4 linked regions of the Saccharomyces cerevisiae S288C genome follow. The protein of the gene in region 1 purifies or fractionates together with the protein of each later gene. This does not show direct contact. Each region holds a gene or a part of one and is shown on either strand. Other genes may lie near its edges.

What was found.
Region 2: the proteins of TRM732 (region 1) and TRM7 purify together in Saccharomyces cerevisiae (affinity purification with western blotting; 5 studies listed by BioGRID, with this or other methods). This does not show direct contact.
Region 3: the proteins of TRM732 (region 1) and CLB1 purify together in Saccharomyces cerevisiae (affinity purification with mass spectrometry, with the first as the bait; one large-scale study listed by BioGRID). This does not show direct contact.
Region 4: the proteins of TRM732 (region 1) and LSB3 purify together in Saccharomyces cerevisiae (affinity purification with mass spectrometry, with the first as the bait; one large-scale study listed by BioGRID). This does not show direct contact.

What each region holds. Positions count from the first base shown.
Region 1 is NC_001145.3:783,756-790,482, reverse strand, and holds TRM732 (tRNA methylation protein TRM732), read left to right. Parts: upstream 1-1,599; coding exon 1,600-5,862; downstream 5,863-6,727. Other genes in the region: TPS3 (trehalose 6-phosphate synthase/phosphatase complex subunit), read left to right, coding at 1-278; TIF11 (translation initiation complex factor eIF1A), read left to right, coding at 644-1,105; ROY1 (Roy1p), read left to right, coding at 6,202-6,727. UniProt on the Saccharomyces cerevisiae protein: Together with methyltransferase TRM7, methylates the 2'-O-ribose of nucleotides at position 32 of the anticodon loop of substrate tRNAs.
Region 2 is NC_001134.8:364,065-367,568, reverse strand, and holds TRM7 (tRNA methyltransferase TRM7), read left to right. Parts: upstream 1-1,849; coding exon 1,850-2,782; downstream 2,783-3,504. Other genes in the region: CNM1 (Cnm1p), read left to right, coding at 1-599; YBR062C (uncharacterized protein), read left to right, coding at 969-984, 1,067-1,593.
Region 3 is NC_001139.9:701,994-705,810, reverse strand, and holds CLB1 (B-type cyclin CLB1), read right to left. Parts: upstream 2,176-3,817; coding exon 760-2,175; downstream 1-759. Other genes in the region: B-type cyclin CLB6, read left to right, coding at 1-452. UniProt on the Saccharomyces cerevisiae protein: Essential for the control of the cell cycle at the G2/M (mitosis) transition. Interacts with the CDC2 protein kinase to form MPF. G2/M cyclins accumulate steadily during G2 and are abruptly destroyed at mitosis.
Region 4 is NC_001138.5:201,350-205,365, forward strand, and holds LSB3 (Lsb3p), read right to left. Parts: upstream 2,085-4,016; coding exon 2,038-2,084; intron 1,944-2,037; coding exon 611-1,943; downstream 1-610. Other genes in the region: PES4 (Pes4p), read left to right, coding at 1-360; HIS2 (histidinol-phosphatase), read right to left, coding at 2,394-3,401.

The sequences.
Region 1 (6,727 bases):
ACAATAGCAGAATATCTCTATCAAGAACATCCTCTTCGATGTCCGTCGGTAATAATAAGAAGCATTTCCAAAACCAGGTAGATTTCGTTTGCGTTTCCGGTTCGACATCACCTATTATTGAACCATTATTTAAATTAGTGAAGCAAGAGGTTGAAAAGAACAATCTAAAATTTGGTTACACCATTCTTTACGGTAGCTCAAGATCCACTTATGCCAAGGAACATATCAATGGTGTCAATGAACTTTTTACCATCCTTCATGACTTGACAGCCGCCTAAGCGATCATTTTCCCTCCTGTACTTTCAAAATGTTCTCTTTCTTATTCTTCAGTTATAGTTTTTACGAGCGATTATAAATATAAAAGTACGATCTTCCTTTTACGTATATATGTATATACAGCACGATAAATTACAAACAAGTTTCAACTAACAATGTGGGTTATTTCTCATATTGTTAATGAGATCTTATAATAATCATTATACACGAACGCTATTTTTCACTTTTTTTTCATTTTTGTTTTCGCCGCAAGAAGTAATAGTGAAAAATTGAAAAAAGCTTCAATTTTAGTTTGCTGAAAGAAACCTTTACTTATGTAGAAGGTGTACTTGCAAAAGCACTAGTGTAATATAGAGCAAAGTTCATCATGGGTAAGAAAAACACTAAAGGTGGTAAAAAAGGTAGAAGAGGTAAGAACGACTCTGACGGTCCAAAGCGTGAACTTATTTATAAGGAAGAAGGCCAAGAATATGCTCAAATCACCAAGATGTTGGGTAATGGAAGAGTCGAAGCCAGTTGCTTTGATGGTAATAAGAGAATGGCCCATATTAGAGGTAAGTTAAGAAAGAAAGTCTGGATGGGACAAGGTGATATTATTCTTGTTTCCTTAAGAGATTTCCAAGATGACCAATGTGATGTTGTCCACAAATATAATTTAGATGAAGCCAGAACACTGAAAAACCAAGGTGAACTTCCTGAAAACGCCAAAATTAATGAAACAGACAACTTTGGTTTCGAATCTGATGAAGACGTTAACTTTGAATTTGGTAACGCTGATGAAGATGATGAGGAAGGTGAAGATGAAGAACTTGATATTGATGACATTTAATTTAGGCCGAACAAGTGTCCTCAATATCTTCTAATGCGTCAACTATTCATAATTTATTTATAATTATATTTTTTAGTCCATCATAGGAAAGGGTTTTCTTTTTACTATATCGAAATACTTATATATAGATATCAAAAAAAGAATAAAAATGAAATACCTCAAGAAGTCGTTTAATCTTCCTTCTAGGGTTTCTTTCAAGCGGACGTTAAGGAGACGTAATAAAAATTTTCTCGCACGAGAAATTTGAGCAAAGAGCACGTTGCGAATACGTTTTATCCATTCATCGTTTTTAATTTATTACCTTTTCTTTCGATGCTGTTTATTGTCACTCATGAGTGCTTCCGTTTTTTCCATCGAAAATTTACTTTTTTAGACTGAAAAGAAAATGAAAAGTTAAAATAAATTTTTACCAGAAAATGCTCATCGCAGGAAAATGACAATACTATTGTGAGCTTCCCGAGGTACACATTACTTCATACTGAAAGTTTCAAAAAATGACTACGGATGTGCAATTTTCAAGTCAGGAAATCGAGCTTTTCCGTGTCAAAGAATTCTTGATTGCTAATAATCCAGCAAAGATCAACAATGAAAATAAGGATGCTGTTTTAACTCAGATTGAGCATGATTTCAGGTATTTAATACAGTATATCAAGGACGGATTACCGAACTTAAATGAGTCCACAAGGTTAATTTTTCCAGATACCTTTTCGATCTGTTTACTAAGGAGCCATCAAATAATTGCAAGCAAAAAAATTGACTCTCAAGAATTTTTATCGGCGGTAAAAGAGCAACTCTTAACTGAAGCGAATGCAAATATTATCTTTGAATATGTTCTTGACTTTTGGGCTGATGGTGGAGCCCCACTGATGAATGCCTTGAGAGATTTATTCAGTAAACTACTGAACTTATTGAAAATCACATATCCTATGTCAACCTTGAAGGATGTTTTATTTAATTGGATGAATGAAATATTAGAAGTACCATCTACGTTGCGTGTTCAGTATTACTTGATTGATGCCCTTTCTTCTGATTTTGACCTTTATTATATTATAGAAAAAAAGCCTCATTTCATCGATAACTCTTTTTCATTAATGAACTCTGATTTGCTAGCAAATTCGGTAGGTAAATGCATTGTTAGTTTGCTGTTAAACATTTACGAAAAGCATTTCAAAAAGAACGAGTCTTTTGTACAAGAATGGATACAATTATGGAAAAGTTGTGCTTTAAAGTACATTCACGACAAACAATACACCAAATCCATTAATCTGTATATTATGATTCCATTATTCAAAAATATGCCAAACTCGGCCTTCACACTTTTCCTAGAATGTATGTCTAACAAAGACCCATCACTTTTGCTCTCACTTTTAAAGATTGGCCAAGAATTGGGGATTGAAGAAGAACCATTTTGTGATAATAAATATACCACTGTAGATTCTGTTAACAAACTCATAGAGCAAGATGAGTATAAACTTCAGGTATTTGAAATACTGACCTTTTCGACAAAAAAGTCAAAGCCTATTCGTCCCTTCGTCTTCAAAACTATAAAACAGTACCTATATGTGTTCTTCGTGGACACTGAACTTGAACGCAGAAATTACTTTTGCAGTTCGATGAAACACTTTATATTTAGAACCAGAGACTGCGCATACTCTTTAGCTAGGGATGCCAGAAAGCTTAAAAAGGCTGAGAAATTTCCGGACGAACAGAGGGAAAAGTTGGCGCAAGTTGAGGAGGCTAGAGCCTTTTTGGTTTGGCTATGCAATTTTATAAAATATAATTTGGCCCCTGGTACTTTATATCAGGCGAACGTGACCTCATTAAAACTTATGCACATTCTGATCAAGTCTGGTGTTGATAAATCTACTCCACAAAAATTTTTAGACAACCAAAATAAGAGGGAATATCCTTTTTCTATCCCAATTTTACAGGATGTCACATTTTTAAGGTTGCTCATTGACCTTTTGGTTAGTAATTATGCTGACGTGCGCGAATTATCTAAAGAAATGCTATTTATAATGATAAGCGCTGATGAATCTAGAGGTCTTTTTTTGGATACCTTAGACGCAAATGCTTTGAAGTGGACTGCAACCTCTCTTTTAAGTGACTATGAGAAAGGTGATGCTGGAGCTACCGTATATGAGTTCATATTCACAGTCATGGGCTCTCAAAGAAGCTTCATTGACCAGACAATTGATATATTAGCGCAGATGGTACAAAATTTGCAAAATGACAGCATTGGTTGTGCAGAAAATTCAATCGGTCCTCACTTTGCTGCACTAAGCTTGATTTTGAATAAGTTTAACTCTGAAGAAAACCATCAAGATACTTCAAAAATAATCTCAAAATTAATAAATCTTGTACTCAAGAGCTGGGAAGCAACGAGAAATGTAGTGTGTCATGATTCTGCCCATGGAATACTACCTGAAAAATATGCTAATTGTGGTGTACCGGACCAAGTTATAATAAGTCACGCATTTAGGGCGATAAAAGAAGCATCATATTTACTTGAAACAATATTAAAAAAATACCCTTTAACAAGAGATCAATTAGACAGTATCGGCGATCTTTTTATTGTTCAGCTTTCTACTATTCGTCATAGTGGCGCCTTCCAAGCCGTTTTACCGGGGCTAAAGGCATTTTGTATTCGTTGTCAACTTGAATTTCCCGCTATTCTGGAAGAACTTTTAAGCAAGAGTGTAAAATCTTTAAAATCCAAAACTCAACATATTACAAGAAGGTCAGGAGGCTTGCCTTTCTTGGTCACAACCGTCTTAAGTGCAGAAGTTACCAAAGGGAGACCTTTGTTACAAAAAACTTTTGAAAACTTACTACTCGTTGCAAGGTTACCAATTCCTCCCCATCAAGATGAGTTTGATTTACCACAGGTTAATGCTATTAATTGTATAAACGCAATCTTTGTTGAACCGAAGCTCTCTGTACACTGTACGTCATTTGTCTCAGAGGCATTAGAACTAGCTTTATTGAATTTCGACTGTGATATATGGGCTCTAAGAAACTGTTCTATCATGCTGTTTACCTCCTTGCAAAATAGAATTTTTGGAAAAGTGGGCAGAAGCGTTAGTGCAAAATTATTCTTTACCAAATATTCTGGCTTGAGGCAACTGCTTTTGAATATTCTAAACAGTTCTATTGCTCAATATTCGGGAAGTGAAAGAAAATCATATCAAATTGAAAGCATTTTCTTGGTCCTTAATGTGCTACTGAGGTTACGGCCTACAGCTGGCTATACTGGTCTAAAAGAATTCAACGTTTCTGTTTATGAATGTTTATCAAATGAGAACTGGAAGATCAGAGATATGGCCTCTAGAGTATTGCATATGCTGTCGGAAAATTTTGAAGAAGAGATAAGAAAATTACTTGACTTGGCTTCTATCGCGAAGCAAAACCAGTTACATGGACACTTACTAGCACTCCAACAACTAGTACCACAATACCTTTCAGGAACTAGAGATATGGAGTTGATTCAAAGGATACTTGAAAAGAAAAGGATGCTTCTACTAGAGAACAAGTGCTTTATCACTAAAAAGGCCTACTTAAAATTGACCTGCTGTATATTGGAAACATGCGACATACCTGATTCTATTTTAAAAGATTATATCAGCACTTTGCGGAACACATTTATTGCTGAAAATAACGAATATGTTGTGGATGGTAGCAAACAGCTATATCTTGCACAAATCTTAGACATGCTCTTAAAATATGAGGATAGTATATATCTCGATGATATTTGCTTATTAGGATTGTATTCTCCATTTTATGAGGCTCAGCTCAGTACACTACAGTACATGAATACTAACTTTCACTGGGAAACTACAAGAAACTCAGAATTTCTTGAACAACTACAATTATTACTCAGGGTTCCAGATTTGCTGCCTATGGCTAAAGCTTTAGTAGTGAAAATTCTCTCAAGAAAAAAGAATACTTTATCCCTGACGACCTGCACTGATCTCCTAAAAACAAATAATAGTGAAGATACAAAACTTGCTGCCGTTTCATCACTAAGTGCTAAATTGTCTTCGCAAACCTTTCACCAGGTATGGAACTTGTTACAAGGATTTTTCGCCGATTCTTGTTCAAAAGATTTTAGATTGGCATCTTTAGAATGTTTAACTGCTTATCCAGAAAGTTGTAAGAACTCCAGAATACTATTACAACTGTACAACTTCTTATGGGACGATGATTCTGAAATAAGAGAAAAGGCTTCTTTTTATTTGAATAAGAACTTTATTCAAACTGCAGACTGGGAATATAACAGGAACACCAGTGTGACCGCTCTTATATTCACAAAAAAGTTTGTTGACGTATTCACAAGTTCTGAGGTGGTAGAAGAGTTGTGTTTACAGTTGTTTCAATATCTAAATGAATATGATATGTTTGCTGCCGAAGAATCGGCGAAGAATTGTCTATTTACTATAGAAAAGGATAACCAGTTCATCAACGAACTACAAAAGGCAATGCATATATTAAATATGATAAAATTGACTGGAAGGGATATCTCAAAGTGTTACAAAGACCAGATACATCACCTAAAAAGTGCTCTATTGGAGCACTTCAACACCGAGGATTTTAAAGATTCCCCACTCGGCTGGTGCTCTAATGCTGAAATATTTTCAAGAATAACGCTTTTAAAGGAACTGATTCAACATTATTCTCCTTCTGATTATGAGAATTTTATCAATGTTCTGACTAAACATTCTGTTCATCCCCTAATTATCAGTTATTCCCAATTATAAATAATGAATATGTACAGATATATACTTTGCATATAATCTGATTCATCTCTAACCTACTTGTGGATTTAGTGACGAGATTCATTGTGGAACCTATTACAAAGCATGTCGATTTCTATTCTAAATACAATGATGGAACTTGATTTAATTTCTTTACCGTTGTCATTTTCTTTTGAATTTTTTCCACCTCTTTTTTTGTTGAAAAATGTTCATGGATGGAAAATTAAAGGTGTGCCCTATTACAAAAGCAAGTTGTACCCCTTTACTAACTCTCTAGTCAATTTGAACTATTGTGAAAACGACAGTTGTGCTCACATGATATAACAAAAGTAATACTGACAAATGGCATTCCAAGATCAAGATATATTCATAGTGTTCTCGCATGCCTCCTTATTTCTTAATCAAAATGATTTATTAAGCCTAAGTCTAACATCCAAAAAAATGCATGACATGATTGCAATCCCTCGTCTTTATAGCAATATTCACATAACTAAGAATCCTGTTTTAAGAACAAACAAATGGTTTTTGGACGGGGGAAAAACTTATGTAAGTGGTTATAGATCTGTTCTGAAAACCGGTGACAAGAATGACATATTTTTATATGATAGAATTGAAAGGTTGTTGGAGACATCGCATTTAAAATGTATAAAACAGCTGACTATTGACGAGGATTTGTTTCACAACAGGGAAGAAGGATTGCAACTGTTACAAAGATTGGTCAATGAAATCACTGACTTGGACGTGATTGAAAGTCTTGACATCAAGGATCCTACCTTGTTTGAGTTATGTTCAGCAAAGTATTATCGCCTGTCAAGTTTAAAGAAGAGAGTAGTATATGGCGAAACTGGATTTGATGGTATCAAATTAT
Region 2 (3,504 bases), on another chromosome or scaffold:
ATTATACAACAGAGGTCTTAACGCGATCACCTGGCTCGAATCCCGAGTTTAAAGCAGTGGTAAATAATACATTACTTGATAGCGCGAATGAAACGCCGTTTAAAGGTATTGAAAAAAGTATTAACGAAACAATGGTTAAAGTTCCTATGGGATGCGATGTATCTCTCTCCCATTATGGCAGACAATACGCGCCTGGAAATATTTCAATTATGAGAAGCTTCACTGCTCGAGATAATACTAAATCTGTGAGTAGAGAAATTCGTGATATCTGTAAATCGTTTTTGATTATAAAAAGCCAATTTGGTGACGAACTTTTCCTGACTATGTTCATGGAAAAACCAGTTTTCTTTGATAACAACATCCCAATTGAAATAACTGGAGCATACCGAGAAAAACGAGAGCGATTAGATGAAGTGATTCATAAGGATCTTATCCGCTATGATGAAGTTCAAAATTTGACAAGGATTCGCAATTTGCTCCGGGTTAAAAGTCAAAAGATTTGTTCCAGGAGACATAATAGTTCGGTTCCCACAAAAAAATTGTTAGTTAATGATAAAGGCGCAACTTCGATTCTACTGTGGTACTCTAACTATTCATAGATAAAGTTTATTTGATACATAATCCGGAAAATGTAAGATATGCCAACTGTTAACTAGAAAACATCTGTACTCTATATATCGGAAACAAAAACTTTACGGGTACAACCATGATGAATAAGCTCGAAATTTTTGCCTTCCATATGAGTCCCATTTTGGTGACCAACTCTCCTACCCGAATTACTGTGATGATATATACTCTTCGTTTTCTAGTAATGGCTTCATTTTGCCTAAGTTGGTCAAAATTGTTGTGGGCGGCTTTTGTTTGCACCGAGGAGCGCTCAGTTCGTTATAATACCAGTTTTGCCACTCCTAAACTACTAAAGAAATAATAGAAAGATATATTCATCAAACATAATCACAATCAAAAAAATGTCTACATATGAAGGTATGTAATGATATATTATGAAGTAAGTTCCCCAAAGCCAATTAACTAACCGAATTTTAATCTGCACTCATCATTAGATTAGAGGAACATGGAATACAACAAAACTCAAGGGATTACCAAGAAGTAGGAGGAACTTCACAGGAGGAGCAGAGAAGACAGGTCAGATCCCAACTGCAAGGTCTATTTCAAAACTTTGGTAACACCAGTGGTGAGGGTGATGCACATTCAGATTCAACACTACTTTTACGATTATTATCGCAAATGCTTCCAGAATCATTACAGGAAGAATGGTTGCAAGAAATGGATAAAGGCAAGAGTGCGGGCTGTCCTGATACTTTTGCAGCCTCTTTACCACGAATCAATAAAAAAAAGCTCAAAGCAACTGACAACTGCTCCATTTGTTACACTAATTATTTAGAAGATGAGTACCCCTTAGTAGTTGAATTACCTCATTGCCATCATAAGTTCGACTTAGAGTGTTTGTCTGTCTGGCTATCTCGAAGTACAACATGTCCATTATGCAGAGATAATGTTATGGGCCACCGAATCATTAATGAGATTGATACAACTGAAGCAGAACTGGAAGAAGATTGGGGTATGTACGGTTAATATCTTTCTTTTATATTATATAAAGACACCAAACCTAAGTAGAATAGGTAACTACGTCTTCTTTCACAGAAGACAGACCTACAAGTATTTTGATTATCATGATGAAGTAAAAGCAACGATAAACTTTTTACTAGGTATTATTATTCTGCGCTAACAATAATTATCGCGAGTTGAAAATTTTCAAGCGATGCTCCTAACATTACTGTAAAACAACAGTAGATGAGTACAAGGCAAGCTTAAAAAGAAAGTATTCAAGATGGGTAAGAGCAGCAAAGATAAAAGAGATTTGTACTATAGAAAAGCAAAAGAGCAGGGCTATAGGGCTAGATCTGCTTTCAAACTACTTCAACTCAATGACCAATTTCATTTCCTGGATGATCCAAACTTAAAAAGAGTTGTAGATTTGTGTGCAGCACCAGGTTCATGGTCACAAGTGCTCTCGAGAAAACTGTTTGATGAAAGTCCCAGTTCAGATAAGGAGGACAGGAAAATTGTCTCTGTCGATTTACAACCGATGTCCCCCATACCTCATGTGACAACGTTGCAAGCCGATATCACTCATCCTAAAACATTGGCGAGGATTCTAAAACTGTTTGGCAACGAAAAGGCCGATTTTGTTTGTAGTGATGGTGCACCTGATGTTACTGGGTTACACGATCTTGACGAATACGTGCAACAACAGTTAATTATGAGTGCGCTGCAACTTACTGCATGCATTCTGAAAAAAGGTGGAACTTTTGTGGCAAAGATCTTCAGAGGTCGTGATATAGATATGCTATATTCCCAATTGGGCTATCTATTCGATAAAATCGTTTGCGCAAAGCCAAGATCATCAAGAGGTACATCTCTGGAAGCTTTTATTGTTTGTTTAGGCTATAACCCACCATCCAATTGGACACCAAAATTAGATGTAAATACATCCGTTGATGAATTTTTTCAAGGCTGTTTTTTGAATAAATTGTGTATATCAGACAAATTGTCTCATTGGAATGAAGAGGAGAGAAACATAGCCGAATTTATGGCTTGTGGAAGTCTTCAAAGTTTCGACTCAGATGCCACTTATCATGACCTACCTTCTTCGGTTGCAGGCACTTCATCGTCCTTAGATCCTGTTCAAAGCCCGACGAACCCTCCCTACAAGAAAGCTTTGGAATTAAAAAGGAGCGGGAAACTCACTAGATCAGTTTGATTGCAATATTACTACCTCTAATCAAACAATTAAATAAGTCACTACATTATAAGATTATCTACAAAATCAACTTTTCCTTGCAATCATTAAAAACGATATAGGTTACGGTTATGTAGAATATCCATTGTATAATATAAAAGAAAATGAAACAGTAATTATATTATATTATATTACATGCAAGCATTGAGGAGTATGGCAATCATTTTTCTTCTTTTTTACTTCACCTCGTCTCTTAAAACATCTGCTTTCGAATTTGCGAGTAATAGAACTTTCGAATTGTGACAGAACCATTGAGAACATGGTGAATCTGTCAATATTACAACCCAAAAGCCGGTTGGTGGTAAACCGTAGTACGGAGCATTACAAAGGATTCCATCGTATAAATTATGCATAAGCATCACCTTGATCCATTTGCCTTGCTCCTATTGCCCTGCTTGTTTGTAGGAAAGCCCCTTTTGGTCAAACGAATTGTTCAGTTCGGGTTTACGCATTACATATCTCCTTTTTAGATACAAAAACCTCGAAACGCTCACATAAACCCGGTTGTTCTTTTGAGTACCTGGCCAATGGAGACATAGCTTGGGGTTAAGTAAAAGTGAAAGTCAGGTTGATACATGTGCCTTTTATTCCACCGAAGAAAGCTTATCCAACATAAGAGCATTATTTAATGGGCTTTCCAATTTATTATTGGCATACACTTCTTTCAAAAATTCGCCGGTCTC
Region 3 (3,817 bases), on another chromosome or scaffold:
CCACTGTCGAAGGAATTAGGAAGGCTGAGCTATTCGTTCTAAGTTCTTTAGGTTATAACATATCTCTACCAAACCCCCTAAATTTCATTAGGAGAATTTCAAAAGCTGACAATTACTGCATTGAAACAAGGAACATGGCCAAATTCATCATGGAATATTCGATTTGTTGTAATAAATTCATCCACCTGAAGCCATCATATTTAGCTGCAATGTCCATGTATATCGCCAGAAAAATTAAAAATGAAAATTCCAAATGGGATGAAACTTTTATTCATTATAGTGGCGGCATTGATATTGAATCAGATCCAGCGTTTAAGGATTTTATCAGTGAACTAGTTGAAGATATTGCTGTACCTGATACGAATCTAGATTCCTTGAGACTTAAATACAAAAAGCCTAAACATGGCATGGTTTATTTCAAGGTTTTTGACTGGTGTAAACAAAAACGTTGAAACATAGATCAAAATTATAGCCAGCTAACCCCCTGCATCTTAAATATCATCGATAGACATACTTCTTTATTTCTTTTATGTATTCAAAAAAAGAAAGAAAATGCATTATTCCTCACTTTAAAGATAATTTTCCAATTATGGGAGAAAAAATTTATAAATGAATTAATTATTACAGCCTACAAAACTGATACCGTGTGATAATATATATGAGATAACCGTTATATGAATAATGAATGCCTGATTTTTCTATAAAATAGATGATAAAGTAAGGAAGTGAGATTTTGGTTTTCTGTGTAGGCTAGCACCTTCACTCATGCAATGTCATAATATCATATCCATTTTTCCTTACCTTCAATGCCCATTCGATAGAAATTATGGAAGCCTTTAAAAATCTTCTCGATTGATATTTTTTCAAGAACTCGTCGTGAATAGTAGATCCAACAAGATAATCCATCAGTAATTGGCAAACGGGATATAGTTTTGCCTTTGTGTAACCACCACTATAATGGATTAAGTTGCCATCCCAGGTGCCCTTGCCCAGCATTTTTCTCGAAAGGAACATTGCCGCTGAGGCACATAATGACGGTAATATCCCGATGAACTTGAAGTCCACTATAGATATTTCCATTAGGAACTTCGCTAACGTCCTAGACTGGATATCATAGTCATCCGCTTTTGATATTCTCCTTAAGAAATTCATTGGGTTAGCGAAACTAATTTGAAAATCGAGTTTTTCCAATATAAATCTTTCACCCTCTTTAATATCTTCCACAGAGCATGCACCGTCTGTCTCGTACGCAAAATGTTTTATGCTAGGGGAGTATATTTCCTCATACTTAGATGCGATGAACAGGCATGATGTACCAACCAGTTGCAATCTATTTAACTGAACCACCTCTTCACAAAGAAATCTATCCATTATGTTTATGGCCAAATATAGAGTTTCCGGCAGAAGGCCAAACTTATTATGAATCTTGATTATCCAGTTCACCAAAATGTCTCTGTTTTGCTTAATATTTTTATGCTTATAGAGATTCGCCTTATTTGGCAATGTGATTATTTCCAAGTGATGCAAATAATCGAAGATATCATTAACCTCTTCGCTCACCATTAAGGGATCATCACAATCTTCTTCATCTAGGTCATCCCATTCGTACTCCTCCAGAACCTCTTCTTCTGTAGTCAATTCATGGAGTTTGAACTTTTTCTGGTCATCCTGCTCTACAAGAGTTGATATTGGCCTTTTTTTTTTGGAATCTTCTCTCATTATTTTTTTCTGCCATTCCATTTGAGTGGAAATAGACTTGTTCTCAGAGTATATCAACCGATTACAGCTCAAGGCAGTCGAATTCGTATGAAAAGAGTCATCATTTGAGCACTGCTGCTTTTCTTGCTCGGAATATCCATATTCAGGAATATTTTCCTTATTGTTTAGTACTTCTTGTTTCACCCCCTGTCTACTGTCATTAAAAGAGGAGGTGAAGTCATCGGCTCTCGAAACATCATCCTTTAAAGGAAAGAAGTTGTTCAATTTTGAGAAGTTCTTCATCCCAATTTTTCTGTTCATAGAAATCTCTTGCAGGATATTTGCATTATTTGTGACATTACCGAGAATGGTCCTTGGGACGTTTCTCTTTTGTAAGATATATTGACTTTCGTTTACCCCCTTCTCTTCATTACTATTAATGGTTCTACTATTCTCTACCAAAAGGGATCGTGACATTATGAGAAGATTAAAGCTTCCTTTGATGGTTGATATAACGGACGAAAATATTTTGGCTCTGTTCTTGTTGGTAGATCTTATTCTTAATTACGCTTTTGTGATCTAAACAGCTGCACCAGTTAGCAACTTTAATAGTTTTAAGAAACTATACCAAGAGCCACAAGTAAAACTGTCGCTGGAAAAACCGAAGACACTAAAATTGCAGCCTGCTCAAGTTTGGCCGAATGTAAAAAACACAATACAACCAAAATTGCCTAGAATAGATCACCCTAGTATCTTCTTCTTACACAGAAGTGCAATAACTTCTATTACTTAATATATATAACTACACGCCGTATTCATAAAAGAAGGATCAAACCCGTTTCTGCAGAGGAAGACGAATGAGGAAATCACAAACAAAACAAATTGGGCAGACCGTATGCGGAACGCAAATTGAAGTAATATGTTATGTACGTTCCGCACCTAACTTGCAGGATACCCATAAATGATGCTGTAAAAATGCAAGTTGAAAATGATTAATTAATACAACAAATTTAAAGTTACCGTTGACGTGAGTTTTATGGTGCTTCTATATTTTGTGTCCGCTTCTTGATTGTTGATGTTTTTCCTCTTTGGGCGGTTGTAAACAAAAGGTCGTGCCCGTTTTGTGAGAGCCCCTACTCGAAAACGGTAGTGAAAAACCGCCCAAATGATGCATCTAGTAAAGAAAACTAATTGAAGCGCGTCTGTGTGTGCCTGCTTCAAGAATGACACTGGGCATGCATAGCCTCGTTGAAAAGTCCACTTGCAATACGACGAAAGAGGAGCCAGTAGCACATAATTAATCGGAGGGAATCTCGATCGTGTCCTATTCAAATTTGGAAGAAACGCCTTTTTTAACAGAGCGGGCGGACTTTCAATAAAATTGGATGCAAAAAAAAAAAATGACTGAGTACAAGCGAAGCTTACTAAATAATTGGATAACACCATGAATGATATTATGGAGCAATTCGATAGTTCAAAAATTGACAAAGACAATGCTTTTACGCATCAATAAAAAATGCCGTAACTGTTGCAGTTTTCAGCGTTAGTTTCAATTTTAAGATTATTTTTACTATGAATAGAAGATAAATATTTTCATTTCCCCCCCAGTTGTTGTCATTATGAACATATAAAACATTCATTTACTCTTGTTTATTATCATTCATAGATCAAGAATATATGGTAAATAACGCAAGAAGCTCTTGGAACAATCGTAATGATAAAATAGAAAAGAACAATTGCGCTGTAAATTCTTACGTCCAAAACAATTGTAGTTTAATGCGGGTGAAAATACGTTAACATTAGGCTTGTTTCCAACGAGAACTGTGGCAAGGAAATGTAAACATTAGCATTGCAAAGTCTCTTGCCGAACCTATAGATTACCGATTGAACTTGGCTTGCTACGTATTTTCGAAGTAGTGGATATTTTCATCTTGATTGATTTCTGCTAAAATAACAATCAGTTATCTTCCGCATATTACTCATGCAACAAACTGAAGCTATTATTTACCTTACATCGAATTTTCAAGAAGCGATGATAAAAAATGGTGTGAAATTATATGACCTGAAGACCAGAATTAAACAATCATTGAACCTGACAGAAGCTGATGCACGAAAGTTG
Region 4 (4,016 bases), on another chromosome or scaffold:
CAAATTACCCCATATTACCAGTACTCACATGCGAATAGTTTGAACTCCCCACACATGAGAGATCTTTCGTCAATGAATAGCAGCACAAGATCACTAATAAAGAATAAAAATTTCAATAAGAAAGTTTTGGAAACATTCGAAAAGCAAGTAAGAAGAGGTATAGATTTCATGAGATTTCCAAGTGCCACTAGAGACGAAAATGTGCACGGAATAGCTGAGTATATATTCGACACTTATTGGAATCGCGATGTGTTAATATTGGACAAATTTTTATCGTTGCTAAATAGTAGTCCATATCATGAAGGTGTATTGCAAAAACAAATTGAAGAGGCTGCAAGCTCGTTAGGATTTAAAAGATGAATGTCTCTTTGTTAATTTAGCTAGAGTTTTCCTTATTTATTTTTTTTATTTACACTAATTCAATCTTTTTCGTTATATTTAGATATTATTAAAAATTATTATTATGGAAAAAATTCTTAAAAGGATAGACAGAGGGACGCCGTCTGCTATATGATATGTATTTAGGTCCGAGTGCTGATAAACTGTAAGGCAAAAGGTATAAGTGTAAATCAATAACGTTTCTCGTATTCTTTACTCTCCTTCAAATTTTTTAAACTAGTTCAACGTAATTTGCTGGGAATATACCTTCTCTACCGTTGACTCTTCCGGTCCACCAGTCATTTTGAGAATCTGATTTTTTCAAAATTGTGATCACGTCACCCTTTCTGAATGGTAAATCTCCGGACTCTTCTCCTGCAAAGCTATATAATGCCACGGCCTTTGGAGAAGACGTGGATGGGGATGTTGGAGCAGTGAATCTGCCCTGACTAGTTTGCGGTGTTGAAGCGGACGAGATTCTAGATTTAGAAAATCTGTTCGACAAGTCATCGACTTCACGGTCTTTTGTCCTATCTCTTCCATTCCCGCGTCTATACCCGGATTCATAATCATCATCATAATCATCGTATTCATCATCAGCCCAACGATTTCTTGAAGAACGAGCCCTTGACTGAGCAGTTCCTGATCTTCTGTGGCTGGCATAATAACTTGAAGCTCCAGATGGGTCATCCAATTTACCACCACTACCGCCACTGTTGGTAGGAGCCAGTCTTGAATTCCTTGAATAGCCAGTACCATAATCATCATCGTCATCATCATCGTCGAACGTATAACGAGAACCGCTTTGGGCTCTTCTCCTTGTGGATCTTGTGTTAGGTCTAGTGGAGGAAGCATCTGTAGAACTGAATGAACTAGGAATGTCATTATAGTAATCGTCGTCGTCATAGTAATCGTCTTCGTCGTCATCGAAACTGCCACGACCACCGTTGGAGGGTCTGTAATTAAACGCCCTGGACTCTAAAACACGAAACAATGGATCAACTGCTGGAGGCGGTCTTATCCTACCAGACAAAATCATTTTCGCGGTACAATTGTCACCATAAAATTTTCTGTTAGCCTCTCTTCTTTCTATAATAGCCGAACCTTCCACAGAAACCCCTGCAAATAGACCTTTACTCTTAGAATAGGCAAAAACTGCAGCCACACCACCGGCGGAGGCTGATGCAGCTGCTTCTGCACTTCTACCAAGAGGCCCAGCAGAAACGGAGACGTTACCACCCAACGTGATGGTCCCAAATTCAGAAAACGACTTAACAGCATCCTGAGTATTTAAAATGAAAACAAAATCAGTCAATTCTATACCAACCATCCCACCGGCACCAGCACCTGCCATGGCAATGGCAGATGGAGCTGACCAAGTACCATCCTTTAATCTTGCGACAATCACACCAGAACCAGCTCTACCTGAAAATAGAAAACCTGCTTTTAAGATCGTTATGATAGCCAACCCTTTAGCTCTTTTCAAAACGTCTGGAGGAATGACTTGGTCCGCACCAAAAACTTGGTTTGGTTTGACAAAACTAGCCAAAATCTTCGCTGCTTTTCTTTATTAATTGTTTATTACTAGTTAGTAAATGATGAACAAATTAAGGGAGAACTTTTTTAAAGGTTTCCCAGCCAAACCCGTATAAAACATACTTTGTCTCACTCTTTAAACTCCTTGGAATAGGATTGTTAATACCCATTGCGTGTGATACAGCTTTTGTTTTTGATTTCTTTGCCACCCGTGATCCAAAGCCGTTCTAGATTTCTTCGATAGTTTATACTCTTTCATGTTGAACTTCCAGATGCGGCCGAGTCGGCGAGCAAACAGGGTGCTGCTACTAAACGAACAATAAAGAAAGACAATTTGGGCACCCAATATAAAATGAGCAGTCAATTCAATCAATTCAGTGTGAAATTTTTTTCTTGGAAAGATCATTCACTTCTACACAGCTGTACATGAGTTTATATGACAGTTTTTTTTTATGTACATCCAGTTCAAGATAATCAGATTATATATTGGCCCAAAAGGGATCATTAACGAATTGCGAAATGGGTAATCTCTTTACAGTTAACAGATTCTCTGGTGATTGGCTTTCCTCAAGGTAGCAAATATACTCTAATTGTAGCACGTCTACTATGTATTTCTTTACCTTGTCATAGCACACACCCACTTGCGCCACGCCGTGTGCGTCATCACTTAGAACAAATCTGGATCCACAGTGCTTCTTGACCAGATTACATAAGGTTTTGCTGGGGTACGGCTCCTCGAGGCGCTTTCTTAATGCGGACGTATTGATTTCAATTGCGCCGCCATAGGAGTCTATAAATTGTAAATTTCTTACAACTGCATCGTATATTTCTGGCCATTCACTGATGACGTCCAGTGAAGCTACAGGAACTCCGGTTTCTTCGTTGCAGTTGCCCGATTTCTGGTTTACTAGCATGTCATTGGGCAAAAATAATTTGTAAAGGTCGAAGTGACCCACGACCAACGGTTTAATATTGATCAGCATTTCGTACTGTGATTGGAAGTAAGACAGGAGAAAATGTTTCAAATTATCATTGAAGGAATGCAATGAATTGTACCATTGTTGTTGGTCGAAATCAATAGGGATCCCGTTGACGTGATGGACCGAACCCACACAAAACTTCAAAATATCATTATTCTCCTTCATGAGTCGCTTTGCATATTCGATATGAGCCATGTCACAACTTTCGATCTCCATTCCTATAATGAATTTAGTCCGCACATCGGGTCTATCAGCATAACGAGTCTTGATTTCTTGCGCATGACTCATGAAATTCTTGAACGATGTTTCTAGCTTGGTTATGACTTCCTCAGGATTCTTGCCCAATGACTGCTCTTCGGGGTATATAAACTTGGCCTCAATTCTTGGTATGTGCTCTGTCAAACAGTACGTGTGAAAGTTGAGGTTGACCACTTGATCGACCACGGAATCCAAAGGGTCCGTACCGTGGGCACTATAGTCACCGGAGTGTGAATGGTGTGAGTGCATGACCTCGAGGATTTTTACTGAATTGTACGTATCAAGAAGTACTAAAATGTGTTTGAAAGGGAAAGATTGTACGGGAAATGGAAAATGTACATATAATATCCAGTATCATTTGAGTTGATAGAGATTATCTCTATAGATAGAGAGATTTGACAAAAAAAATAAAAAAATTTAAATGGACGAGTCCGGAATCGAACCGGAGACCTCTCCCATGCTAAGGGAGCGCGCTACCGACTACGCCACACGCCCGAACGTTTGTTGAAATCTTCCAAACAGAAATGATACAGGTTTACTTTACAGCAAGACATTAGTAGTTTCATTAGCTTATCAACATGTATGAAACCGGCAAGATTGAAAGCTTGATTGCCCTTGACGAGCTACTCAAATGTGTAAATATCTGCACAATCAGTTTACACTCATGTTTCCGCGCTTTTACCCTCCATCTAGATTAAAATCTTATATGGATTATTTGGGATAAATAGCATTTAGTAAATCAAATTGATAAAAAAAAGAATAGCATTTAGGTATGCAGAATATACTAGAAGCTGTCCTCACTGATCCTGAATCCAAAAAAGAGAATTCTACGTAATAATATTATCACCTCTTCCTCCATTTTAT